Linked DNA regions of Stegostoma tigrinum. Each later gene encodes a partner of the first gene's protein in a complex. Links are inferred from orthologs where the notes say so. Each region holds a gene or a part of one and is shown on either strand. Other genes may lie near its edges. The genes, in order: gabbr2 and BTB/POZ domain-containing protein KCTD16-like.

Evidence for each region.
Region 2: the proteins of gabbr2 (region 1) and BTB/POZ domain-containing protein KCTD16-like are in contact, whole or in part, in a crystal structure (PDB 6M8R), measured with the Homo sapiens proteins. The link is inferred for Stegostoma tigrinum from reciprocal best matches to the Homo sapiens genes GABBR2 and KCTD16. Residues at the interface, in NP_005449.5 of Homo sapiens: Ile882, Asn883, Ile888, Gln889, Arg891, Leu892, Ser893, Leu894, Gln895, Leu896, Pro897, Ile898, Leu899; in NP_001357415.1 of Homo sapiens: Asn30, Gly32, Gly33, Gln34, Val35, Tyr36, Asp64, Leu65, Ala66, Lys67, Asp68, Ser69, Arg72, Phe74, Gly79, Phe80, Arg83.

The regions. Positions count from the first base shown.
Region 1 is NC_081355.1:87,513,381-87,526,017, reverse strand, and holds the start of gabbr2 (gamma-aminobutyric acid type B receptor subunit 2), read left to right. Parts: upstream 1-7,673; 5' UTR 7,674-8,637; coding exon 8,638-8,934; intron 8,935-12,637. UniProt on the Homo sapiens protein: Component of a heterodimeric G-protein coupled receptor for GABA, formed by GABBR1 and GABBR2. Within the heterodimeric GABA receptor, only GABBR1 seems to bind agonists, while GABBR2 mediates coupling to G proteins.
Region 2 is NC_081366.1:33,641,417-33,653,442, forward strand, and holds the start of BTB/POZ domain-containing protein KCTD16-like, read right to left. Parts: upstream 5,204-12,026; 5' UTR 3,947-5,203; coding exon 3,112-3,946; intron 1-3,111. UniProt on the Homo sapiens protein: Auxiliary subunit of GABA-B receptors that determine the pharmacology and kinetics of the receptor response. Increases agonist potency and markedly alter the G-protein signaling of the receptors by accelerating onset and promoting desensitization.

The DNA.
Region 1 (12,637 bases):
ATTCACTTTGAAGACAACAATTGAATTTGTGTCCAGTGAATGCATTTAAAATCATGGCTATTTGCTGGATAAATAGTTCCTACTCATTATGAGTCTTAAGTTTTTTTAATTTCCCCTGGTTCTTGTCTCTTACATCAAGGGGAACAGATTTTCTCTAACTACTCTGTCTGACTCTCTTATGATTTTGAAATAAATCACTTCTTAAGCTTCTCTCCTGTAAGAGTACAGCCCCAGAATAGAAGGTACTAGAGAAAAATCTCTTTCCTAATCCTTGTTTACTTTACTGTCTTCTTACATCACCTTCTTCTCAGCTCCATCTCCTCAATGTTGTCTTGGAAAAGCTGTTGATTTTCTCTTCTATTTTGTTCTTGGCCAGGAATACTTGTTTAATGGTCTTATGACTTTAGAAGCTATTCTGAGGCTTTCATAAATGACTCCCTAAAAGCCTGAAGGATTTTGCCTCAGAATCTTATCTCAACTTCATTTCCTGCTGTTCTTGCTCTGTTCACTCTCATTTTGTATCATCACAGGTGAAACAGAAAAGTAGACATTTGTTGCAAATGCATCATGAACAAATGGTTGTCGGGCAATGTTGCAGGTTCCCTATTTTGTCCCACCTATTGCATTGATTTACATTGTGCTCATCTTACTAAAAGTACTTTGCTAAAAAATTGTCTCTTTGTAGCTGTGTGATGTGAGTCTGTGTAAACAAGAGCTAACACTCAATTTGCGCATTTTCAGCAAGAAAACCGTCATGCTGACCAAATTTTGAATGTATTTAGCAAATTATTGAATGGAAAGTAAATGTTCAATCTTTATACATCTTTTGAAAGCTTTTTGTGACATGGTGAGGCCAGTTAACTCAATTTTTTGATGACTAGCATGTGGTTCAGATGGGTGCCAATGGGTTTGATTCCCTTTTCAGCTGAGATAAACTCAAGTCCTGCTTCTTTGCCTTACCCTTGAGAGTGGAAGACCATGATAAAACATCCAAGAGAAACATTTCAGGATGTAACTGCAGCAGACAATGACCATGTTCTGTTGAGTGGAACGCACAGGATGAAGATAGGAATGATATAGTTTTCCTGATTTCATTGCCGCTGGTTGTCACATTTAGAATCTGAACTCTGGAATTCCTCTCAACCCAAACCTCTTGGTCTCTCCCTGTTTTCTTCTTTAAAACATTTCTTAAAACTGAACTGGTTGACAAAATTTTATACATCTACGCTAAGATTTCCTTATGTGGTTCCATGTGAAAATCATTTGATACCCCTTCTATAACATGCCTTCGGATGGTTGACTATCTTAAAGTGCAATATAAATGCAAGTTGTTGTTATTCTAGTCTGATATCACCATAGAGACAAATAATGTTTAAAAAGGTCAAACTGCCAGTTATAAGATGAAAATTACAGCAATATTTCATAATTTAAGAATTTTCACAAATAATTAAGAACATTTAATGAAGCACTATTTTTGGAGATGTTATATTTTAAATCACAGATTCGAGCACCTTTTATGTTGGATGTTTTTAAATCAACACATTCAGGTGTGTTACTGCATATCTGTCAAATAGATGGGACTTGAACCTCGGCTTTTGGCCCAGAGGTAGATATATGGCCTAGGGGGAGTGTAAGCTTTTATGTCTTAAATTTTTCACACACCATACTCTCCACAGAACAAAACAAGACACAGTTGCTTTCATCTTCCAGTAGGCTTACAGCTTTGCAGTTTTAACAACCAACATGGCAATAGGGAGGCTGAAAATAGTATACACCGTATAAAACAGTTCACAACCAACATCAATATGGGAGCTGAAAACAGAGAGAGAGCAGCAGCAGCACAGGGTCCGTAAGCAGTATGGAAACTGAAGTTGAAAACAGTGCCAAATGTAATCAAACGGAATTGAGGTAATCTCTAACTATTGCACCAATGCCATCCTTGATGTCCCTCCATCTTCTACCCAGTGTCCTCTTCTTCTTGGATGTAACCTTCACTATTCAGGACTCAACCTTTCTCATTCTGCAGCCATGTCTTGATAATGGCTATCTAACATATTTGCTCACTTCAATGCGTATTATCTCTTTATTTACTTTGTTTATAATGCTATGCTAATTCAGATACAGAATCTTTACTTGCCTCTTGTTGTAATCTTTGTAACATCTAGTCTTGACATTCCTAGGTGCATTCCTAGGTTTTGTCTTGACTTTGTCTCTTTCAGCCACTCTCTGGCCCTCTATTCCCGGATTAGTGCTTTACTTGTCTACCTTGTCTTTACTCTTTGTTATACTATAGCTTTCCACGTTTGATTCCTTGCCCTTGCTATTTAGTTTAAAATTCTTTGCACCTCCCTGGTTATGCAGTTCACAAAAAACACTGGTCCCTGCATAGATCAGGTGTAAACTGTCCCAATGGTACAGCCGCCACGTTCCCCAGTACTGGTGCCAATAGTCCACTGGCCACAATCCCTTGGTTTCCACATCAGTCTTTGGCAACAGAGTCATTTCTCTAATTTTATGTACACTATGCCAATGTGCACACATCTCAGGTACTAATCCACAGATTATATCTTCTTAGGTTCTGCTTTTTAATTTCGTTTCCGATTCTGGTCCTAATCGCTGCATCTTTCCCCTTTGACAACTCCACCCCGTTACTTCTCTCTCTGATTTTGTAAGTATTCCAAATTTCCTTTGCTTTAATTCTTTCTCTTTCTCATTATCGCTCAGTGTCCAAATTTCCACTGCTGTGTAAGTTTCTGTATGTGAACTATCCAATGGAAAATGAAGATGCTATTGATGTTACAGGCAACATTATGTTATAAATTACAAAGCTCCCTCTATAGGCCTGTAAAGAGTGAACAGCCTGTAACCCGCAGAAGAACCCTTCACAACTCCTCTCGCCACTCTCCCCACCCAGATGTACTTCCCATATTGTCAGGTATTTATTTTGCTTATGTATGGTGAAACAGACAGCAATTCTGCAAATCGCAACGTTCATAAATATCTTATCAAATAGCTTCAGGAAATGTAAACAGATTATATTCACTGGATAATACACTTCAAAAACCATAAGAACTCTTCACAAAATACTTACGCACCCTTATAGTCTGTTATGCTCTTTTGATGAATATTGATAGCATCTTGTGAAGTTCTTTTAAGTCCTATCCACACAAATGGTAGTAGCTCAACTACCAAATGTATCTCAAATTGATACTACAGTACTTTTGAAATAGTGGAGCGATAAGTATTATTCCTCAGTTATTGGGGATCAATTCTGTTCTATTGGAGCAGAAAATGGTACAGCACAGAAGCAGACCCTTTGGCCTGTCATATCTGTGCTGACCAAGATGGCATTCTAAACCAACCCCATCTGCCTGTTTATGGTCTGTCTAAGTGCCTCTTAAACATTGATATTCCAGGCACTTACCATCCTCTGTTAAAACAAAAAACTTTTCTTGCACATTTCCCCTATCACCTTAATCCTATGTCCCTAGATTTTATCATTTCCAACCTGGGAAAAAGACTGTGACAACCATGCTATCCAGGTCTCTCATAATTTTATATACTCTATCGGGTCGCCCCTCAGCCTCTAATGCTCTCGTGAAAGCAATCCAAGTTTGTCAAACATCTCCTTATAGCTAATGAACTCCAATCTGGCCAATATCCTAGTAACGTGATAATGGGAACTGCAGGTGCTGGAAAATCCAAGATAATAAAATGTGAGACTGGATGAACACAGCAGGCCCAGCAGCATCTCAGGAGCACAAAAGCTGACGTTTCAGGCCTATACCCTTCATCAGAGAGGGGGATGGGGTGAGGGTTCTGGAATAAATAGGGAGAGAGGAGGAGGCGGACCGAAGATGGAGAGAAAAGAAGATAGGTGGCGAGAAGAGTATAGGTGGGGAGGTGGGGGGGGGATAGGTCAGTCCAGGGAAGACGGACAGATCAAGGAGGTAGGATGAGGTAAGTAGGTAGGAAATGGAGGTGCGGCTTGGGGTGGGAGGGAGGGATGTTTGAGAGGAAGAACAGGTTAGGGAGGCAGAGACAGGCTGGACTGGTTTTGGGATGCAGTGGATGGAGGGGAAGAGCTGGGCTGGTTGTGTGGTGCAGTGGGGGGAGGGGACGAACTGGGCTGGTTTGGGATGCGGTGGGGGAAGGGGAGATTTTGAAGCTGGTGGAGTCCACATTGATACCATTGGGCTGCAGGGTTCCCAAGCGGAATATGAGTTGCTGTTCCTGCAACCAATATCCTAGTAAACTTCTTTTGCATTCTCTTAAAAGCCTCCACATCCTTCCTAGAGTGTGTGGGCCAGAACTGATTACAATACTCTTAATGTGATCTCTCTAATGTTTTATACAGCTGCAACATGGCTCGCCAACTTTTATACTCAATATCCCAACTGATGAAGGCAAACATGATGCATACTTTCTTCATCACCTCATCTACTTGTGTTGCCACTTTCAGGGAGTGATGGATTTGCTCCTCAGGGTCTGGCCATTACCGTATACTTTCCTCTAGCCCATGACCTTCCAAAATGCAACACTTCACATTTGCTGGATTAATCTCCATCTGCCATTTCTCTGCCCAACTTTCCAACTGGTCACCTTCCTGCTGTATACTTTGAAAATCTTCCTCACTATGCACAACTCCACCAATTTTTGTGTCATCTGCAAACTTACTAATCAGACCATTTACTGATTCATCCAAATCATTTAAATAAATTACAAACAACAGGGTCCCAGTGCTGATCCTTGCAGAACACTACTGGTCACAGACCTCCAGTCAGAAAGAAAAACACTTTTCCAAAACTACCCTTTGTCTTCTATGAGTAAACCTGTTTTGTATTCAACTTACACAAATCACTGCGAATCCTATGCGACTTAATCTTCTGGACCAGCCAACCATGAGGGACTTCATCAAATGCTTTAGTAAAGTCCATGTAGCAACATCTGCTGCCCTACTCTCATCAACCATCTTCATCAATTCCTCGAAAGACTCAATCAAATTTGTGAGACAAGACCTCCTGCCTCAAAGCCATGTTGACTATCCTTAATAAGTCCGTTCTTTTCCGATTGCAAGTTGATCTTGTCCCTAAGAATCTTCTCCAATAATTTTCCTACCACTTTAATGTACGGCCTAAAATCTCTTGAATTATCGCTGTTGCTTTTTTTAAACAAAGGAACATCTTTGGCTATTCTTCAGTCTTCTGTAACCTCGCCTGTGGCTAAAGAGGACACAAAGATCTTTGCCAAGGCCCCAGCAATCTCCTCCTTTGCCTCCCCTAGTATCCTGGGATAGATCCCATCAGGCCCTGAGGACTTATGGACCATATTGATTATTAAGTTGCCCAACAGCTGCTTCTTAATGTACACATGCCCTTGAATATCACTATGCCCTTCCATAACCTTACCAACCTGGGAATAATAATCAGGCACATTATTAGTCTGTCTACATGTCTCCAATGAGCTCCAGGTGAGCCATATCTGTTGACTTCAGAGAGCACACACACAAAGAAACATGTACTGTATCTACACTGTTATAGTTAAATGAAGTTTTAGGTTCTGCTTCCACCTAGACCTCCTCAAACTCTTCATTGCAGTTTTTAAGATTTAGAGCTGTGTCATTAATATTGACCTGGGGCTAATTATATATTAAGTTAGGGATGGTTTATTGCTGGATGCATGTTACTAACTTGGTCTGACTACTGTGTATTACTGTGCTTGGAGAATATCAGCTTGGCCCTCAGCTAGTATGGAAGATAAATCACTTGCATTTGGGGAAATGAGACGCATTTTGAATGTGTCTTTGCACTAGAATATTTTCCATAAAACAGGAATCGGTGACATAATGCCATCTATGTGTTGGTTACTTGTTAGAGTCCAAACTAGATAAGCTATCAGGAAATCATGTAACTTCTGTCCCAGGAGTCAAATCCATCTTTCTATTCTCATGGCTGTGATATTTTCCAGTGATATTAATAATTATTTCCTGGTTTAAACATGACATAGATCAACAGAATAATAAAATGTGAGGCTGGATGAACACAGCAGGCCAAGCAGCATCTCAGGAGCACAAAAGCTGATGTTTCGGGCCTAGACCCTTCATCAGAGAGGGGGGTGGGGAGAGGGAACTGGAATAAATAGGGAGAGAGGGGGAGGCGGACCGAAGATGGAGAGTAAAGAAGATAGGTGGAGAGAGTGTAGGTGGGGAGGTAGGGAGGGGATAGGTCAGTCCAGGGAAGACGGACAGGTCAAGGAGGTGGGATGAGGTTAGTAGGTGGCTGGGGGTGCGGCTTGGGGTGGGAGGAAGGGATGGGTGAGAGGAAGAACCGGTTAGGGAGGCAGAGACAGGTTGGACTGGTTTTGGGATGCAGTGGGTGGGGGGGAAGAGCTGGGCTGGTTGTGTCTTCCCTGGACTGACCTATCCCCTCCCTACCTCCCCACCTACACTCTCTCCACCTATCTTCTTTACTCTCCATCTTCGGTCTGCCTCCCCCTCTCTCCCTATTTATTCCAGTTCCCTCTCCCCATCCCCCTCTCTGATGAAGGGTCTAGGCCCGAAACGTCAGCTTTTGTGCTCCTGAGATGCTGCTTGGCCTGCTGTGTTCATCCAGCCTCACATTTTATCTTGGAATTCTCCAGCATCTGCAGTTCCCATTATCTCTGATACTATCATAGATCAACAGGATAGATTTGTTTGCTGCCAGAGGATTGAACAATGTATTTGCTTGATTCAGAGTCTCCACGTAATAGAAACCAAGCGTTCTCAAGGAGCCTAGTGGCTGAAAATTGGTAGCACTCATGTTTAGCTGGTATCGATGGTGGGACTTCACAGGGTAACAGTGACAAATCACTGCTGTCGAGGGCAACTTTGTTTTCACTTGCCATTTACAATTGTTTTTGTTAATCATTCCAAAGTGAAGTTATTCTCCACACTAAACAACAGTGAAGACTGGAATGAACGATATGGGCAAACCTCTTTTAAAATGCCACAAAAGATAGTGGCGGAAACATAAAGAGTACACCGAGTGAGGCTTTAAACCACCAAGGTATCAAACGCTTACAAACTTTCAACGACTTGGGTTTGGTGAATTTCAATACGCTTTTTAACGTGCGATTCTTTCCCCAGAACTTCATTTCCATTCCAATAATTAAAAACATTCTTGAGGATGTTTACAACTAGAACAACAAATTGATTTCCAAACGGTCAATCTCTCCTTCCAAATCAAGTTCCAGTTAATTAAAAAAAAACGTAACATTCCTGGAGATTCCTGCACACAGTGAAAGTGAGAGTCAAAGCTGAAAATGGATCTGAAGCTACAATTCAAAATGAAACAACGGGAAGGTGCCGGTTGCGATGCGGATCTCGACACTAGGGAATAATTAATAGGTTACTGCTGTTTTGCAATTTTCGGGATCTGATTCGGTGCCTGAATTGGTCGCTGTTCCCTGTTTGCCTGTGAGGTGCGGGAACAGATGTTTTCGCTACTGTAATGGGAAGAAGTGCAAATAAATTCAGTGATTGACAGTCGAAGCCCTGATAATGATCCGGTTCGATTTATGGCCTTCCCCCTCGCCATAAAACACAAAACTCGTCCCTGTTTCATATTGGCATGTGTTTGTTTTATTATTAATACATATACACATCGTGGTCATTTCGTTTCTGGTGATTGTGTTGTTGGCAATTTCAACCAGTAGCTGAGGTCTGCTGTGTTTTGACTCCTTCGAATCCGCCAGAGGTTGAGTCCAATGCGGCTGGAGCTGCGTTGCTGTGCGCCTGTGTGTAACCCTGTGTGCTCACAGGCACCGCCAACATGTTCGGAGTGTGAACATTACCAGCGGAATCCCAGAGCGGCGGGTGTCCGAGCGGGCTCACTGCTCCACCGCCCAGGATGGAGCCCGGAGTTGGGTCACCTGCAGTGCCCCCACTGACAGTATTCACAGAGGCAGCGCTGCGGACATGAGGATCTCTTCCCCAGTCGAGCTGCCTTCCCCAGGGAGCTGAGTCTCCAACTCCGTCCGTGCCGGTGTAATCTCTTGTTTTGTTTGGCGGGGAGAGGGTGTTGGTGGGGATATCCCCGTTATCCCATCCTTGCGTTTGTATGGATTGGACAGGATGTGATGGGAGCTGTGGACGAGAGGTGAGCCTGTTAAGTGCTGAGCTCTATGCTGAGCTGCACATTAACACCCAGTCCAACACTGTGTAGATGTTCGGCGCTGCTTCCTCTGCAGGGTGTTTTTTTTCAAAGCCGTGCGGGTTCTGCTTTCCTTTGAACTGCTGCTGAAATCCTACTGAAGGAGGTGAAGAAGGCAACGCACGCAAATGTATGTTTCCAGATATTTTATATCTGTCAACTTGAATCAATGGTATTAAGAGAGGGGGCGCCAGGCGACGTTAAAACACGTTATTCGGGACCCCTCAACAAGAGCAGGAAGGGGCGAGCGGAATGCACTGAACTCGGATCAGCTCAGTGGCTGGACCAGATTGCAACACCTTAGAAGGGTTGAAGCGACAGAGAGGGAGAGAGAGAGATCGCGGCAGCCAGCGAGCCCCAGCACCACTGCCTACCTTCTGATGCGGCTCTCCTCTGGTTTGTGAGAGTGTGAGTGTGTGTGTGTGCGTGCGGTTTCTCCTCCAGGATGCAGACAATCTCCAGGACCTACCGAGCTGGCTTCTTCTGGCGCTGCCTGCGCCGTCTCGGCACGCTCTTGGTGCTATGGATCTGGGGCTTGCTCTCCAGCTCGGCTCTGGGGCTGAGGAACAGTCGCCTGGAAGCCGACTCCAAGCTGCCCATCATGGGGCTGATGCCCATCAACAAGGCGGCAGAGAGCATCTCCGAGGGCATCATACCAGCCGTCGAGCTGGCCACAGAACACGTCCACAACAAATTCTTACCCAACACCAGCAAACTGGTCCTGAAGTGGTACGACTCCGAGGTATGTTTCTTTTATTTGTGAAGCTATCTGTGTGTGTGTGTGTGTTTAATCCAGTCTGTTTACAAACGAACACGTAGAGGATTTCCAATTAGTTCAAACCCTTTGCCTGTACCCCCCCTCCTTGTACATATCTCCTTAATATATCCACAGTGTGATACTTACGAGGTGCGAAGTGTTAATTTTGAATTGTGCTGTTTTGTACAATGCGCAGTGGATGAATGAGTTAACCCTTCGCAGGGTTCAGCGGGGGTTTGCCGTGCCTGTTTAGCGCTCGGTTTCTTGTGTCTTGTGGCTACAGCGCGGTTAGCTTTTCGATTTTGACCCAGTTTTGCCTGTGCACCGTGTGTGGACATGCGGATAACATAACATTGGTTAGCAGCTAAGCAAGAAGCAAGAAGGAATGGGGACAGGGCGCTATGTGTGTGTGTGTGTGTGTGTGTGTATTTCTTTTTCCCTTTTGAGGAATATGAATGAGCTCCTGAAGTCATTGCATTAATCTGGCGAACAGCCCGTGCACTGCCTGGGGAAGCAATGAACAGGCACAGGCTCTGCTCATTGCTTGCCAGCAGCAAACAGTTAACACTGCAGACCACGGCCACCCCCTCTTCGCCAAGAGATCTGTGCATTAGTGACAATATAACGCGCTTCATGCGAAATAAAAACACTCCGAATCACCTTGAGACCTCGCTGTTGAAGGGAGGAGGTGTCCACTACAGCAGGTATTGTGTTTTCCTTCCCCAGATGACATACATAGATGCACATTCGTTTGTCACGGTGGAATTAACGTGCTAGGGGCGGGGACAGGCTCAGGACTGAGTGAGCATTACCTGAAGGTGGCAGCAGCTTCACACCAAGCGCTGCCCACATTGCCAAGGTAACCGCCATCCCACGTTGAGAGCGGGCAGGGGCACTTCACTGTCAGTGACCCAGTCAAATACACTTAGCACCAGGCTGGCTGTACGTGCTGCGGCTCTGAAACTGGCACAGAGGGCAGGCGCTCGGCGATGCTGTGAGGCAGCTTTCCTTTGCATCGTGTGTTTGTGTGTGTGTGCTCGCCTTCGTTTCTAAACAGGCTTTGCCTCTCTCCATTGCATTTTCATTCCATCTTGTAAGGTGATGTAAAGCAAAACATGGGGGCGGGCATTTACAAATGATTCCACAGGAGCGTTTGGCCCGATCGGCCCCTTTAAAAGGACAGGATGAGGAATTCGCAAACTAACCGAAAGCCATTTGGAGAAGGGGAAATTCCTTCAAATGTCGAAACGACAGGTGGTTGACCCAAGAGAATATCTCCGCAGTTCACAAGGGCTGAGACTATAACAACAACAAAAATTGCTGGTTAAACTCAGCAGGTCTGGAAGCCTCTGTGGGGAGAGAGGCGGAGTTGATGTTTCCAGTCCACTGACCGCTCTTTAGAACTCTGCTCTCTTATCCACAGATGCTGAGCTTCTCCAGTTATTTCTGGTTTTGTTTCTCATTTCCCGCATCAATAGCTCTCTGTTTTCTTTTGTGTGACAGCTGAGGAAGGCCTTTAGGCTCATGTTAGTTCATAAATCCAGAAGAATCTCAATGGCCCCTCCCGTCCAGTGTAGTATCCATCTGGTTTCATTCATGGGAGTTAGGGCCAGCAGCGGTGAGGCCGGTTTGTACATCGCCTCAGCCCGGTTAATAACCGAATGGCCGTCAACAGGCCAACGCTTAAGTTACGGGGCCCCAAACGGGGTTATGATGAGGCAAAGAGGCAGATATCATTCCGAAAAAGATATTGGTGATCCAGAGATGTTTATACAACAATTCAGTCATTTCACGCTCAACAATACCGGCGCCACTTTTTATTAATAAACTAAATTTATATTTGCCATCAGCTGTGACGGGATTTGAACTCACATCACTAGGTTGCTAGTTCTTAATGTTTTGAGCATTTTGTTAAATCTCTCTGCTATTTCTCTTAATATTCACGTATTTCTCAAGTAACTGTGCACTCCACAGAAGCAAAGTCAGGCCTTTAATATTTTATCTTGATCAGGTGTTTCAAGTCCTTCAGATGAATTTTATTGCAGGGACATGATGATATTTTCTTTCTTTTTGACAAAAAAATTACAAAACCACTATACAGCTGTACATTTAAATTGCTCCCTAAATCAATTGCTCCAATTTTTACCTTCATAGAAGCATATTCCACCTATTGACTATTTTCAGTTTGAAAAATAATTTCTGAAAATCTGTTCCAAAAAGACTTTTTTTATAGTTTGAATTCTTCCTCTGGCTTTGAAGTTTAATGTAATGTCCTGAGTTAACCTCTTGTATACTCATAGGGTCATAGAGTTATATAGAACAGCAACTGACCCTTTGGCCCAATTTGTTCAAGTGAACCAAGTATCCTAAATTAATCTAGTCTCATTTGCCAGCATTTGGCCAATATCACTCTCAACCCGTCCTATTCATGTACCAGTCCAGATACTTTTTAAATGCTGGATTTGTACCAGTCTCCACCACATCCTCTGGCAGCTCATTCCAAAAACGTGCCAACATCTGTGTGAAAAAGCTGCTGCGTACTTCCTTTTTATATCTTTCCCCTTTCAGCTTAAACCTTTTGGTCTCCCCCACCCTGTGAAAAAGACCTTGGCTATTCTCACTATTCATGCCCTTCATGAATTTATAAACCTCAATAAGGTCACCCTGCAGCCACTGACGCTCCAGGAAAAATACTTCTGCTTATTCAGCCTCTCCCTGTAGCTCAAAGCCTCCAACCCTGTTAAAATTCTTGTAAATCTTTTCTGCATGCTTTCAAATTTAACATCAACATCTTTCCTATAGCAGGGGGACTAGAACTGAACGCAGTGCCAAAAATGGCCTAACCAATGTCCAGTACAACAGCAATATGACATTATAACTCCTGTACTCAATGCACTGACCAATAAAGGCAAGCATACCAAATGCCTCCTTCAGTACTCTGTCTATCTGTGACTGCACCTTCAACGAACGATGAACCTGCACCCCAAGGTCTCTTTGTTGAGCAACAGTCCCCATTAAGTGGATAAGTCCTTCCCTGACTTGCCTTATCAAAATGCAACATCTCATATCATTAAATTAAATTAAATTCCATCTGTGGCTCCTCGGACCATTGGTCCATCTGATCAAGGTCCCATTGTACTGCGAGGTAACCTTCTTCATTTTCCGTGACACTATCAATTTTGGTGTCATCTGCAAACTTACTAATCATTCCTGCTATATTCACATCTCAATCAATTATATTAGTGACAAAAAACAGTGGACTCAGCACCAAACCTTGTGGCACACTGATGGTCACAGGCCTCTAGCCCCAAAAGCAACTCTCCACCGTCATCCTCTGTCTCCTACCTTGCAGGCAATTTTGTATTCAACTAGCTATCTCTCCCTGGATTCCACAGGATATAACCCTGTTAATGACTCTATCATGCAGAACTTTGTCAAATGCCTTTCTGAAACCCATATAGACAATGTCCACCATTCTGCCTTCATCAATGTTCTTTCTCAATTCTTCAAAAAAACTCAATCAAGTTTTTGAGAATCAATTTCCCATGCACAAACCCATGTTGACTATCCTCAATCAGCCCTTGCCTTTCCAAATGCATGTAGATCCTGTCCTTCAGAATCCCCTCCAGCAACATACCCACCACTGACATCAGGCTGACAAGTCTGTAGTTTCCTGGCTTCTCCTTAC
Region 2 (12,026 bases), on another chromosome or scaffold:
CATCTAACATATGCACAATGGAAGGATTTATAGATTCATAATCAACCCGCTTAGCTGTGTTATGAACACCATTCTATTGTCATCAAGTCCTTAATGTGGGGCTTCTACCCTGAGCTTCTGGCTCAGAAGCAGAGACACTGCCCATTGCACTACATGGCCTGCCACAAGATTTCCACATTTAACTGCATGAGAGTTTCCTCCAGAGGTTTTTGTCAATTTCAGAAGAATAACGATGTTGATGTATCATGATGCAGCTGCAAAATTCAGGTCACTGTATTGTCTTATTTGAGGCATAACAATCACAATAACTAAGTGTTAGCTCAGTTAGAGACAGTAAGTCAGAGCACCCCCAACTATTTTATATCATGCAGCAGAATGAGCTCTGTCATTAAACTGAAGATGATTATTTTTATTTCTTGCTGATCACTCAGCATGCCTTCTATTGTTGACTCCTGATGTGCACAGTGGGGTTTTCCGAATGAATTAATTGTCTCTTTACTTAACTGATGACTATATACAACTGTTCAGGATGGAAGGAAGAATATGCAAGGTTGTAACACTTACAATGTTACTGGACCAACTGGCATATCACTGGTGGGAGCTAAGTTGTCAGCAGATCTAATCCTTGCCAAAGTCCAACATAAAAATGTCCCTATATGAACAAAGGGCAATGAAGTCACTGATGGAATGGTTAAAAAGTCCTCAGATTTGACAACCTGGAATTATCATTGTTAGATTGTTTCATGAATAAATTTATTTCTATTAATATTGCATTCTATAATAATTTTATCCTGTATATTAAATCAACAGATTCAAATACTGTTTTGACTAACCATCTTTGAAGAATCTGTACAATCTCTGGTTACCAATCCTACATTCATTCTAAATTGAAAACGATTGAAAAAAAAATTAGAAGTAAACATAATCATCATTGTGTTAAATTGTAGAAACTGTATTATACCCCAACATCCCATTTGACAGCTTCAGTCCTTTCTTTGGCCTGCTCTACTTGAATAACTCATAGTAACTGTGCAGTAGATGAAGAGAACTACTGTCACATCTAGAGGGCAATAAGATTTTAATGCAGAGCATTAAGCAACAAAGAAACTCAAGCCAATCAGCACATTCAATAGGCTTAAAAAGATAGTTTGGGCCTTACCAGAAGAGACAGGGCATGCTGGCATGGACTTTTAAGAGGCCACAGTATTGTCCCAGTTTTCACGTTGAGAGAGCTTCCAAATGGTAATTAACATCAGCTGATATAGCTTACCAGAGGGAAATATGAATATATCTAAGTTTGTAACACAGAGGAAAGAGCTTGCCCTTAGTACAAGCTGCAATAGCCAATCGCAATAAGTAGGTATTTGTTAACCAACGTTTGGCCAGCACTTTAGCCTTGTTCTGCCATTGCTGCACCTAGTTGTCGCTTCTGCGTTACATTCCCGTTGGTAAACTCTCTGCTATGAAAGTAAAGCAACAAAAAATGACGAATACTGTTCTGGTTCATACAACTTATCGCTAGATCATCAGTAATACCTCAAAATTACAGAAATACAGGACCAAAGGTATTTCAATTTAAACACTGACCGTGTGTACTCGGGTTTGAATTGTCAAATAGTGATATTTGTTGTAAAATCAGCTAGAAACTGCTTTTCCATTCCTTCCTTCATTACAGGTTCTTCAGGACCGTTGTACGATTTGTAAATGACGACTGCCTCAGATAAACGTTGCCGTAAAAGAATGCCCCATTTAAAGAGACCTGACTGGCTCTATAACAATGATGAATTAGGAAATGTTAGCCAGCGGCATTGTGCCAGCTAAAGCGCTATCGTCAAGATTGAGCGCGCCGGTGTTTTAAACCTGTAAAAGTGTATCTGTTCGCCGTGACAACACAGCACTTGGGGAGCGCTACTTCTTTTTCTCGCTAAAGTCATGTCCCTCAGAATTGAAGTTGCAATTTTACCGGTAGACTGGGTCCCAATTATTTACGACGAGCCCCCCTGCCAGTGTCCCATACTCGCAAATAATCATACTAATAACATCCAAGTATAGCAAATCACTCCGAAGAAACGGAATCTCATGCTCTCTTTCGCTCTCTGTGGGTCCTCGGCTCGTATCGCACGGACCCTGAACCGCCCTTGCCAGCTCCTGTTAATGGTCTGGGCTACGAATCAAACCCATTCGGGCTTTGAGCTTCATTCCCAGCCCTGGGACAGGGTAGCTCTGGGAGAAGCTGGCTGAAGCTGCTTGTTTTGCAACCCAGTTAGAAACTAGCCGCTCCCGCCGCCAGAAAGTGCAGCGAGCAATCCAGCATCCCAAAGCTACTTGTCACATTCCCCGCTGCTGCTAGCAGTCGCTGTCCAGGTGCTGAACCACGCCTTCTCGGAGCGGGAAAGACTGTTACAACTTCATTCCGGGACTGTATTTCTTTCCCGGCAACACCGCCAGTGGTTCTCCTTCCGGACAGACTCTCCGGCCGGTACGGGGCTCTTTACAGAGAAACGCAATGTTGTATGCGCAACGTGCAGCGTCCCTGTCCAGGTTTTGTTGTTCGATGGTCACTTCAACCCTTACCTCCTATTCACCATCGAATAATATTGTCTGTCATAATATATTTCAATTTCTGTCCAAACAAGGGGCTGCGAACATGATTCGCTGTCTCAGCAAAGGATTCGAGTGTACAGTCGGTGGTGACAGGGCGCTAGTTCTCGGTTAGGGTTCGGAATGCTCGGCGACGCTCAATGTTGCCTGAGACGGAAATGTACTCGATACCAAACTACTGCGTTTCAAATTCACCGCAACATGTTGGACAGTGGGTGCACTCTGTAACTGGGCGCTGGACTAGTGGGTGCACACTGGATAGTGTGTGTTGTCGGAGGTCGGGCGCTGACAGCAGATAGGAGCAGTGTTTGGGCGCTGGATGGTAGGTGTGGGATATAGTTGGGCGCTGGATATTGGCTGTGCACTCGGTAGTGTGTGGGGGAACTGGAGCTGGTGTTGGCTGAGTATGTACCAGGGCATGGGGATTAAAGGGTGTGGACTAAGAGGAGTTGGAGAACGGTGCAGACATCGCGCTGGGTGCAAACAGGAAGACAACCGGAATGTACTCACGGTAGAAGAGGTATTCGGTGTAGCTGCTCCATGCCCTGTCATCAATCGCCTGGCCGCACACTGAGCCGGTCAGAGAGGAGTTGCTCCCCAGTAGAGTGAAGCCTGCTTCCGCCAGGGTGTCGAAGGCTCTCTCCAGTTGGCGGTAGCGGAGGTAGAAGCGGGACGTGTACCTGTCCGGCGTCCGGTCTGGGTCCCTGCTCTCATTCACGTTGTCTCCGAAGACTTCCTTGAGGAGGCCGATCCGCCCGCAGGCGAGGATACGGGGGACCCGGCGGAAGAGGCGAGCATCCCCCTGCAGGCTATCCCGGCCCAGGACACAGGAGCCGCGGTAACCCAGCGTGATGAAGCCGGCCCTGCGCTCCGCTGCCTGGCTGCCGGCCCGGGGGAGGTCGCTGCCCTGGGACAGCTCATCCAGGTCGCTGTGAGAGGGCTCCTCGAGGCCGGGGCTCTGCCCTTCGTCCGGGCTCAGCATGCGGACCAACTCGGGCAGATGGAAGAACTCCGCCTCCCGCCGGAGGCGCATCTTCTCCGGGAAGAGCTCGGGCAGTACCACCGCCCTGTCCCGCAGGTAGTCCAGGATGTAACGGAATAGGAAGCCGTCCCGGTCGATGAAGAAGCGCCCTCGGTTGTCCCGGGCCAGCTCGGGGCCTGCCGAGTTCCTCTTGTGGCCGAACATCCTGCCGAGCACCGAGTTCGGGAGGCTGGTCAGGGTGGACAGGCGGGTGAAGTACACCTGGCCGCCCACATTCAGCTCCACCACATCAGGCAGCGGGGGTCCGCTGCTCTCCCGGGCCGCCAGCGGGGGAGCCGGCCTGCAGTTCGCGTTCAGAGCCATGGCCGGGAGCCCGGAGCCAACTTCTGGCCAGGAGAGAGAGGCCGCCTCCACCCCTCCCGGCGGCGGCGGCGGGGCAGGGCACTTGGTCAGAGAGCAGCCTCCCCTACCCCGGGCAGCCCGGGACACCGGGAGACTCCCAGCTCCGCTTCCCCCCGACTCCAGCGCCTCCACTGTGATGGGGGGGGGGGGGGGGGAGAGAGAGAGAGGGATGGAGTATTGGAGCAGAGTCCTGCCCCCTGGGGGCAGGGGGGGAGGAGGGAGGGGCTCGCTGCCTGTGCCCTGGCGGCCGATCGGAGTGACCCTATTTGTTTAGCTCCCTCCCTCCCACCCTCCGCTCTGGGGCCGCTCCTGATCCCCAGCGCTCCGGATAGACTGCTGTGAGCTCCTGGTTTGTCACATCTCCCAGTGAGAGAGAGAGAGAGAAAGCAGCTGGCAAAGCGCCTCTTACATCATCTTCCCCCAAAGAGCTCTCACACACCGCCTCCTGCCGAGCTCCACTTCTCCAACTTGGAGAGTCGGGGCGGTATGATTCAGGGCTGAACGTGAAAAGCCAGCTCCCGCTTCCCTGGGTGCCTCGCACGCTTCTGCAGCTCGCCAAGAATCAGCGGCGCTCTCGGCTACTTTCAGACTCCACCACTCCCAGGCTCCGCCTGTCTAGTTTTCGGGAAATTTTTTTTCTCTCTATCCCCCTCTCTCTCTCTCACTCCCTCGGTTTCGCGGAAACCTACGAGACGGAAAATGATTGTCTCCTGAGGGTCAATCATAGACACAAAGTTGTCATTGGCCATTAGTCACCAGGAAACCGGCTCCCTCGAGGTGAAACGCCGAAAGCTCCAGCAGTCTCTTCCTCATTTGTCATTTCGTCGTGTTCTAGGGTGGCTAGGGCTCAAATCCGTCGAGAGGCGATGGAGTATTTTAGGATTGTGGAATAAATAATTAAGTGGAAGTGTGCGGCTAAAATGACCTAGTAATCCACAAAGTCTCGCAGCCAGATCTGAAGCAGTGTTTGCCAGCGTTTCAGAGAAAATAGCAGCGTTACAGGAGAGAGCGAGTGCTGTTTTTTTTTGGAGACACCGTATGTCATGCGTGAGCTAAAAGTTGGGGCCATTGGTAACATATACGGTCACCGTAACTAGAATTAGCGTCAATAAACACTGCTGTAATTCATAGTGAGGACAAATAAACCGGCAGCGAATTGTTACCACATATCACTGGTATGTAAAGGGATCCGAAAATTCTTCAAACAACGCCTAACACATACGCCTACCAGTAATCCCACATGGCCGTCACTAAAAATAACATCATAAAATATGTGATTAAAACAACATTTTCTTCTCACAGAATCAAACTATGTCATAAACAAAATAGGCTACTCATAAGTGATGATTTTTGAGGTTAACTTCATTGTGTAAAAGGTCAGGATTCATATTCGTTTTATTCAAAACCAGTAAGTATTCTTCATTGGTGCCATTTCTTGTATTATTGCGAAACAGCTTTGTGGGAGGGGACACCATATGAGGCTCTTTACGATATTGGAACAGAACTATTTCAGGGTAAAGCTATTTATACTGCGACAGGTGACATTACGGAAGAGACCAAAAACACATTCTGAAAATTGGAATAGGATCAGAAAATGTTGAAAGTCATTTGTACGTGATTATATTGCGTTTAGCACTTGCCAGTGGTCGTTTTAAACGTTAACCTACTTCTCCCTCCCTATAGTCTATGAGCTGCTATCTCGATCCAGTATTTTGTATTTACTGTTATGAAAAGCAAATATAGTCTTATGGTATGTATTTAAATAGCAGCTCTAACACAATACAAAAGCGATGATTATATTCCGAATGCCCGAAGCTTGGCAAATTACGGTAGTACAGTCACAATCTAGGAGTAAAGGCCCTTTCGACTCCAATACGCTGTGGTATAGACTCACAAACGTTTTGGATTTACAGGACTACATGTTTTTATCAACATGTCACAAGGAATAGGGATTTAAGATATCAACAGGTTGGTGTATGTTTTATACCGTTATACTTGCTCACCCATTATCTTGCGCTTTTGTTATCAAAACTCATTTTTCAGCTCAGAATGTATGAGTGATAGAAGACCAACAGAACATACTTTTAATCCCTAGGTCAATTTCTATATACACTAAATCAAAGGTTTTATTTGCCCATTTCATAACCTTGTCGACTTAAGATGCAATTTGATTTGTACATTTGAAAGTCAAGATATTTTGTTCCTTTATACCACGTAAAATCGTTTCATATAGTTATTTAAAGCTATATAAATAATATAGCTGTTTTATTTCTCAAATAGAGAGTGAACATAAAGAACAGTCATGATTGAACACAATGCAATCAGCACAAAATGCAATTTGATTTTTACATTTGAAAGTCAAGATATTCTGCTCCTTTATACCACTTAAAATCGTATCATATAGATTGTATTTCCCTTTCACTGATCTTACTTCCAAACATATTAATTATAATTTTGTACTTTAAACAGCACCTGTCTCTTATTTGTCCATTCAGCCAGTTATCCATGTCCCTTGAGTAATTTCATCACAATTTTGATCTTCTATGGATGTCTTATTAGGTTTAATGGAAGCATTAGCAGATTCTAAATCCTTACGTCCAAGTAAACTCACACAGTTCAATATTTGTAGGACGACTTGACTCTGGGAGTGAAAAAATGTGACCCTCCTTGATGTATGAAGTGGATACAATATTTTTGCACATGCTTTCATATGTGTTTTTCCAGCAAATGGGGGGGGGTGTCATTTATACTGTGATAACACAAGGCTGCAATAAATAATATAACTGTTTTATTTCACAAATAGAGAGTGAACGTAAAGAACAACAGTCATGATTGAACACAATGAAATCAGCACAAAACGACAATTCTATTCATCAATAAGTCAGTTTACTTATACAAGACAACTTATAACTTCACAGTCTGAGCGATAACCTGCCTGTTGGCTTTCTATGAACATGCCAAAGAGTTAATATATGTTTCTGTCCCTACCTTATTAGTTATGTTCACTACTGGAGGGAAGATCTGTGCCAGAGACACCTGTTGAGTACTTAGAACCAGGAGCTTTCCAAATCAATGCGGCTGTAGTATTTACTGATTACAAAGCTGCACAATAACATTTTCAATTTTTAGAAAGTCAAATAATTACCTAATACATTATCTTTGACAATCCTTTATCTTGTTTTTTAAACCAATTTATATGAATATATATTTTAAAACTCCCAATTTGTTAAGTTTAGAAAAAATCAGTGTGTTGCTCAGAAATGTAATTCTAGAATCAGAAAGGAAAATGATATATAACAAGCTACAACATAAACTATACTGTGATGATCAGAATAAGTTTTACATTACTTAAGAACATGGTTTTTGCATGTTTGTTTTTATGCCATGATAAAGGACAAAAAGTTAATTAAAGCCAGTATTTCTCTCTGTGATTGGTGAGGAACTGTGAGAAATGTACTTAGTAAATCACAATCAATCCACAAAATAAACTGACAAACATTCTAAAGACAGTATGTGTGACTGCTAAAAATAAACTGACATAATGGAGCTGATGTCCAGAAGCTAGGTTAACTCTAACCCCTTTTAACTTGAAATGATCCAGAACTCTGCTGCCTGTGTCCTAATTCACATCATGTTCTGCCCATCCCCGTGCTCAGTGACCTATTCTGACTCCTACTCATGCAACATCTGGATTTTAAAATTCTTATCTTTGTTTTCAAATGCCCCCTTTGTGAATTGACCATCTCATTTTCTGTGATCACCTGTCCCTCTATCGTCTGATATACACTAATTGCTTCCAGCAACTGGAGCATCCTTAATTTCAATCATTCCAATAGTCGTTGGCCACGACTTGAGGTGGCTAGGCTGCGAGCTCTGGAGTTTCCGTTTGATATCTCTCTACTTCTATGGCTAAATGTTTGGTCATCTGATTTAACATTAAGCATTTATTGCCCATCTTTAATCATGTAGAGAATTAACCACACTTCTGTGGGTCTAGAGTCACATGATTTCCTTCCTTAAAGGACATTAGTGAAAGAGTTGGGTTATTTTTATGGCAATTGACAATGGTTACATGTTGTGATTAGGCCAGTTTCTAATTCCAGATTTTTATTGAATTAAATGTGCTATTGAATTATTATTGGTGTCTTTACCACTACATTCCTGCCTCCCCTAGGATGACAGGGACTAGGTTCTGAATATTGAGAGGTATACGACTTTCAAGAAGAATAGGAATCTAGATGAAGATAGATGGAAAGTTCTGCTAATCAAAGGTGGAATTAGTACAATAGTTTAAGCTAATCTTGGTTAAGGAGATTAGGATATAGAATCAGTTGTGGTGTAGATGAGGAATAGTAGGAAAAAGAAGTCTCTGGGGGAAATGATCTACAAGCTCCCAAACAGTAGCTATAATGTGAGATGAATCATACAAGAATAAATATTGGACATTTGTGGTAATGGGATGGCAAGAATTATGAGTGATTTTAATCAACAAAATAAATTGGAAAAATCAGATTTATATTGGTAGCTTCAATAGGGAGAACATAGAATGGTTTCAGCACAGTTTCTTAGAGCAGCACATTGTGGATTGACTAGAGAGCAAGCTGTACTAGACAGGACAGCTTAATGATGTCAGAGTAAAGGTATCTTTAGGTAGCAGCAATCATAAGTGATTGAATTTTTCATCTAGTTGAGGGAGAGAACGATGATTTTAAGATAATGTTTCAAACTTAGAAAGGGTGGCCATATAAGCATGAAAGCCATGCTAGCTGAAATGCACTGAGATTTTAGGCTAACAGATAAATCAATCAAGAAGGAGGAGGTGATGTTTAAAGGGATATTTCACATTTCTCAGAATTAGTACATTTATACAATAAAGAAAAAGTATCCAAGGGGAAGACCCACCATCTGTAGTTAATCAAGGAATTAAACAGAACTTCAAATTTAAGGAGAAAGTATATAGTTTTACATATATTAATTGCGGGTCAGATAACTGGTCAGAATACAAAAAATGGCAGAGAATGATTCAAGATAATAAAATGTGAGGCTGGATGAACACAGCAGGCCCAGCAGCATCTCAAGAGCATGAAAGCTGACGTTTCGGGCCTGGACCCTTCATCAGAGAGCAATGATTCAGTTGATCAGGACAAAAAATAAGAGTATGAAAGGAAGCTAGCGAGAAATGTAAAAAATCATAGCAAGAGTTTCAATATAACAAAGAAATTATTGCACAAAGTAGAAGCTAATGGTGAAGGGGCAACATACTAGAAGATTGACGAGCTGGCAGAAAATATGAATAAATGGGTCTGTTTCAGGTTGTCAACATGTGACATCTGGGATCCTCCAAGGGTCTATGTTGAGCCTTTGAATGTTTAGAATTTATAACAATGACTTTGATGAAGAAATTGAAGATGTAGTGGTTAATTTAGCAGATGACACAATGACAGGTAGGAAAGAATGACTTCAGAATTCTGAGTTTCAGAGGTGTTTTGGTGTTCTTGTTCATAAGTCACAAAATGTTAGCATGCACATACAGCACGTAATTGGCCGGGGTCGTGGGGGCGATAACAGAATTTACTATTCAGAGAAAAATTGAACGTAAAAGTAAGAGTGTTCTGCTTCTATGATATAGGCATTGATGAGACCCCATTTTTTAAATTCATTCATGGGATGAGGGCATTGCTAGCTAGGCAGCATTTATGGCCCATCCTTAATTGCCCAGAGGGCAGTTAAGAGTCAATCACATTCCTGTGGCTCTGGAATAACATATAGGCCAGACCAAATAAGGATGGCAGTTTCCTTCCCTAAAGGATATTGGTAAACCAGATGCAATTTCTTGGCAATCAATTCATGGTCATCATTGGACTCTTAATTCCAATTTTTTTTTAATTAAATTCAAATTCCACCGTATACTGTGACAGGATTCAAACCCAAGTTCCCAGAACGTTATCTGGATCAACAGTCCAGCAACAATACCATGAGGTCATTAACACCATTATTCCCCACCCCCCCAACAACTGGTATACTATGAATAGTTTTGGCCTTCTTATTGAAGGTATTTCAGAGGACATTTACTGGATTGATATCTAGCATGAGTGAGTTATCTCAAAAGAGTTCAGAGGAATATAAAGTGATATAACTGAATTTTATAAGATGCTGAATACTGTTGATAATGTGGATATGGACAGGATGTTCACCCTTGTTGCTGAGGCTTAGAACTAGGGACACTTTTAAAACATTGTAGGGCAGGAATGAAATGAATTTTCTTTTCTCTCAGAGATTTCTAAATCTATAGAGCTCTCAAACTCAGAAAGCAAGGAAGCAGAGTCATTCAATATTTTCAAGGTGGAACTAAATTGATTACTTTGCCTAATCAGGATCTAAGGTTATCAGAGATAGATTGGAATGTGGAATTTGTAATACAATTAGATCAGGCATGATCTTATTGAATGGCAATGCAGGATCGAAGGACTGAAAGACTTCATTCTATTCTTAAATCATACGTATCCACAAATGAAATTTATAACAGCATGATAATAGATTATTACAACATTATAAACCCCTGATACATGCACTAAACAGTTGAACTTAGACAATAAAATCATAAGAAGGAACATGACAAGCAGTCATCACAGAGTTAAATGCAAGTAACACTTTCCAAAGTCCTTTGACACAAGAGTCCTTCAGCTGCAACACACTTCTTATTTTAAAATTGTAGGTACATTATCTATAACCTCAAATTACAGTTAGTACAAGAAACTCATCTGAAGAAACATTCAATGAAACTCCAATCAGCAGCAATTGGTTTGCACCTTGCAACATTTTACCATTTCATTAAATGATATGTTAGTTTGTTGTTGTGAAATCTTTTAAGCCTAAGAACTGAATCATACCCAAAAGTCAGTATGTACAGGATCCTTTAGGAAGTGTGCATGACTACCAATATATCATAGAGCTGTGTGAAATTGATGCTGGCTGCTCCTTGCATTCAGAGAAGCTTACAGACAGGGATCTATTCAATTAGAAGAATGGGGAAATTCCTAACGCCACCTAAAAGAAACTGTAATCATAAACAGAAGGTTAACCAAGGTCCCAGGCAGCAGGATGTACAAGTAACTAACAGAGGTAGTTACAGAAACTGCAACAAATCTGAAAGACTCTCTACATCAGAAGGCAGGGAACCAGGGTCGTTGATTATGTTTTAGGTAGAGGTAGCTTGACTCCCTTGCTTAACAGGAATCTAAGGTTATTAGTGACAGCCAGGAATGTGAAATTTGGAACGCATCAGAACAGCAATGAACTTGTTGAATAGCAAAGCATCTGATGCAGCTTTTCAGGCGCAGGTCTGCACTGCTCCGAAGGTTCGTCATAATGTGTCTGAATGGGTCAATTAGCCAAATAGCTTGGAAGCCCTTATACTGAGGCCAGCAAGTGGAGTTGGAGGAGAATTATCTTGTTTTCAAAACAGCAGGAAGAGATGGCACAATGCCAGATGTTGGTTAATTACCAGACTAGGGTCTTCAAGTTAAGAATCTGTGCTTCTAGTTTATTTTTGACTATCCGCTGCAGCCCCATTACTTACACCGCTCTCCACTCACCTAAAGTAATTCACAATTTTACAATTTTCTCCTGCTTATCACATAGCATTCCATGTTTCCAGCACTACCGGAACCCCCACTTCTGCACATCTAATATCTTGCACATAATGTCCACTTTATTCAAGATTGTTGGGCACAATCTAAAATAGTTTGGAAGTCTGACACAAATGAGAAGTCAGGCAGAAATAAAGCACCCAACTGGAAGATCAGATCCTCTTCCTAATTGCTAGTGAGTGTAAGATGGCAACATTGAGTGAAAATGGTGCAGGGAGAAGCTGAAAGTTCTTCACACTTTATCCAATTTTTCCAATCAACCCAAACATTCCACATGATGAGTTGCAACCAATCATCTCTCCCTGCTTTATATTAAAAGTAATCTCCCTCCTTCTCTTTTACTTAAAGACCAGAAAATAAGGCTTTCAATGAAGTTCATGGTTGAAGGTTTT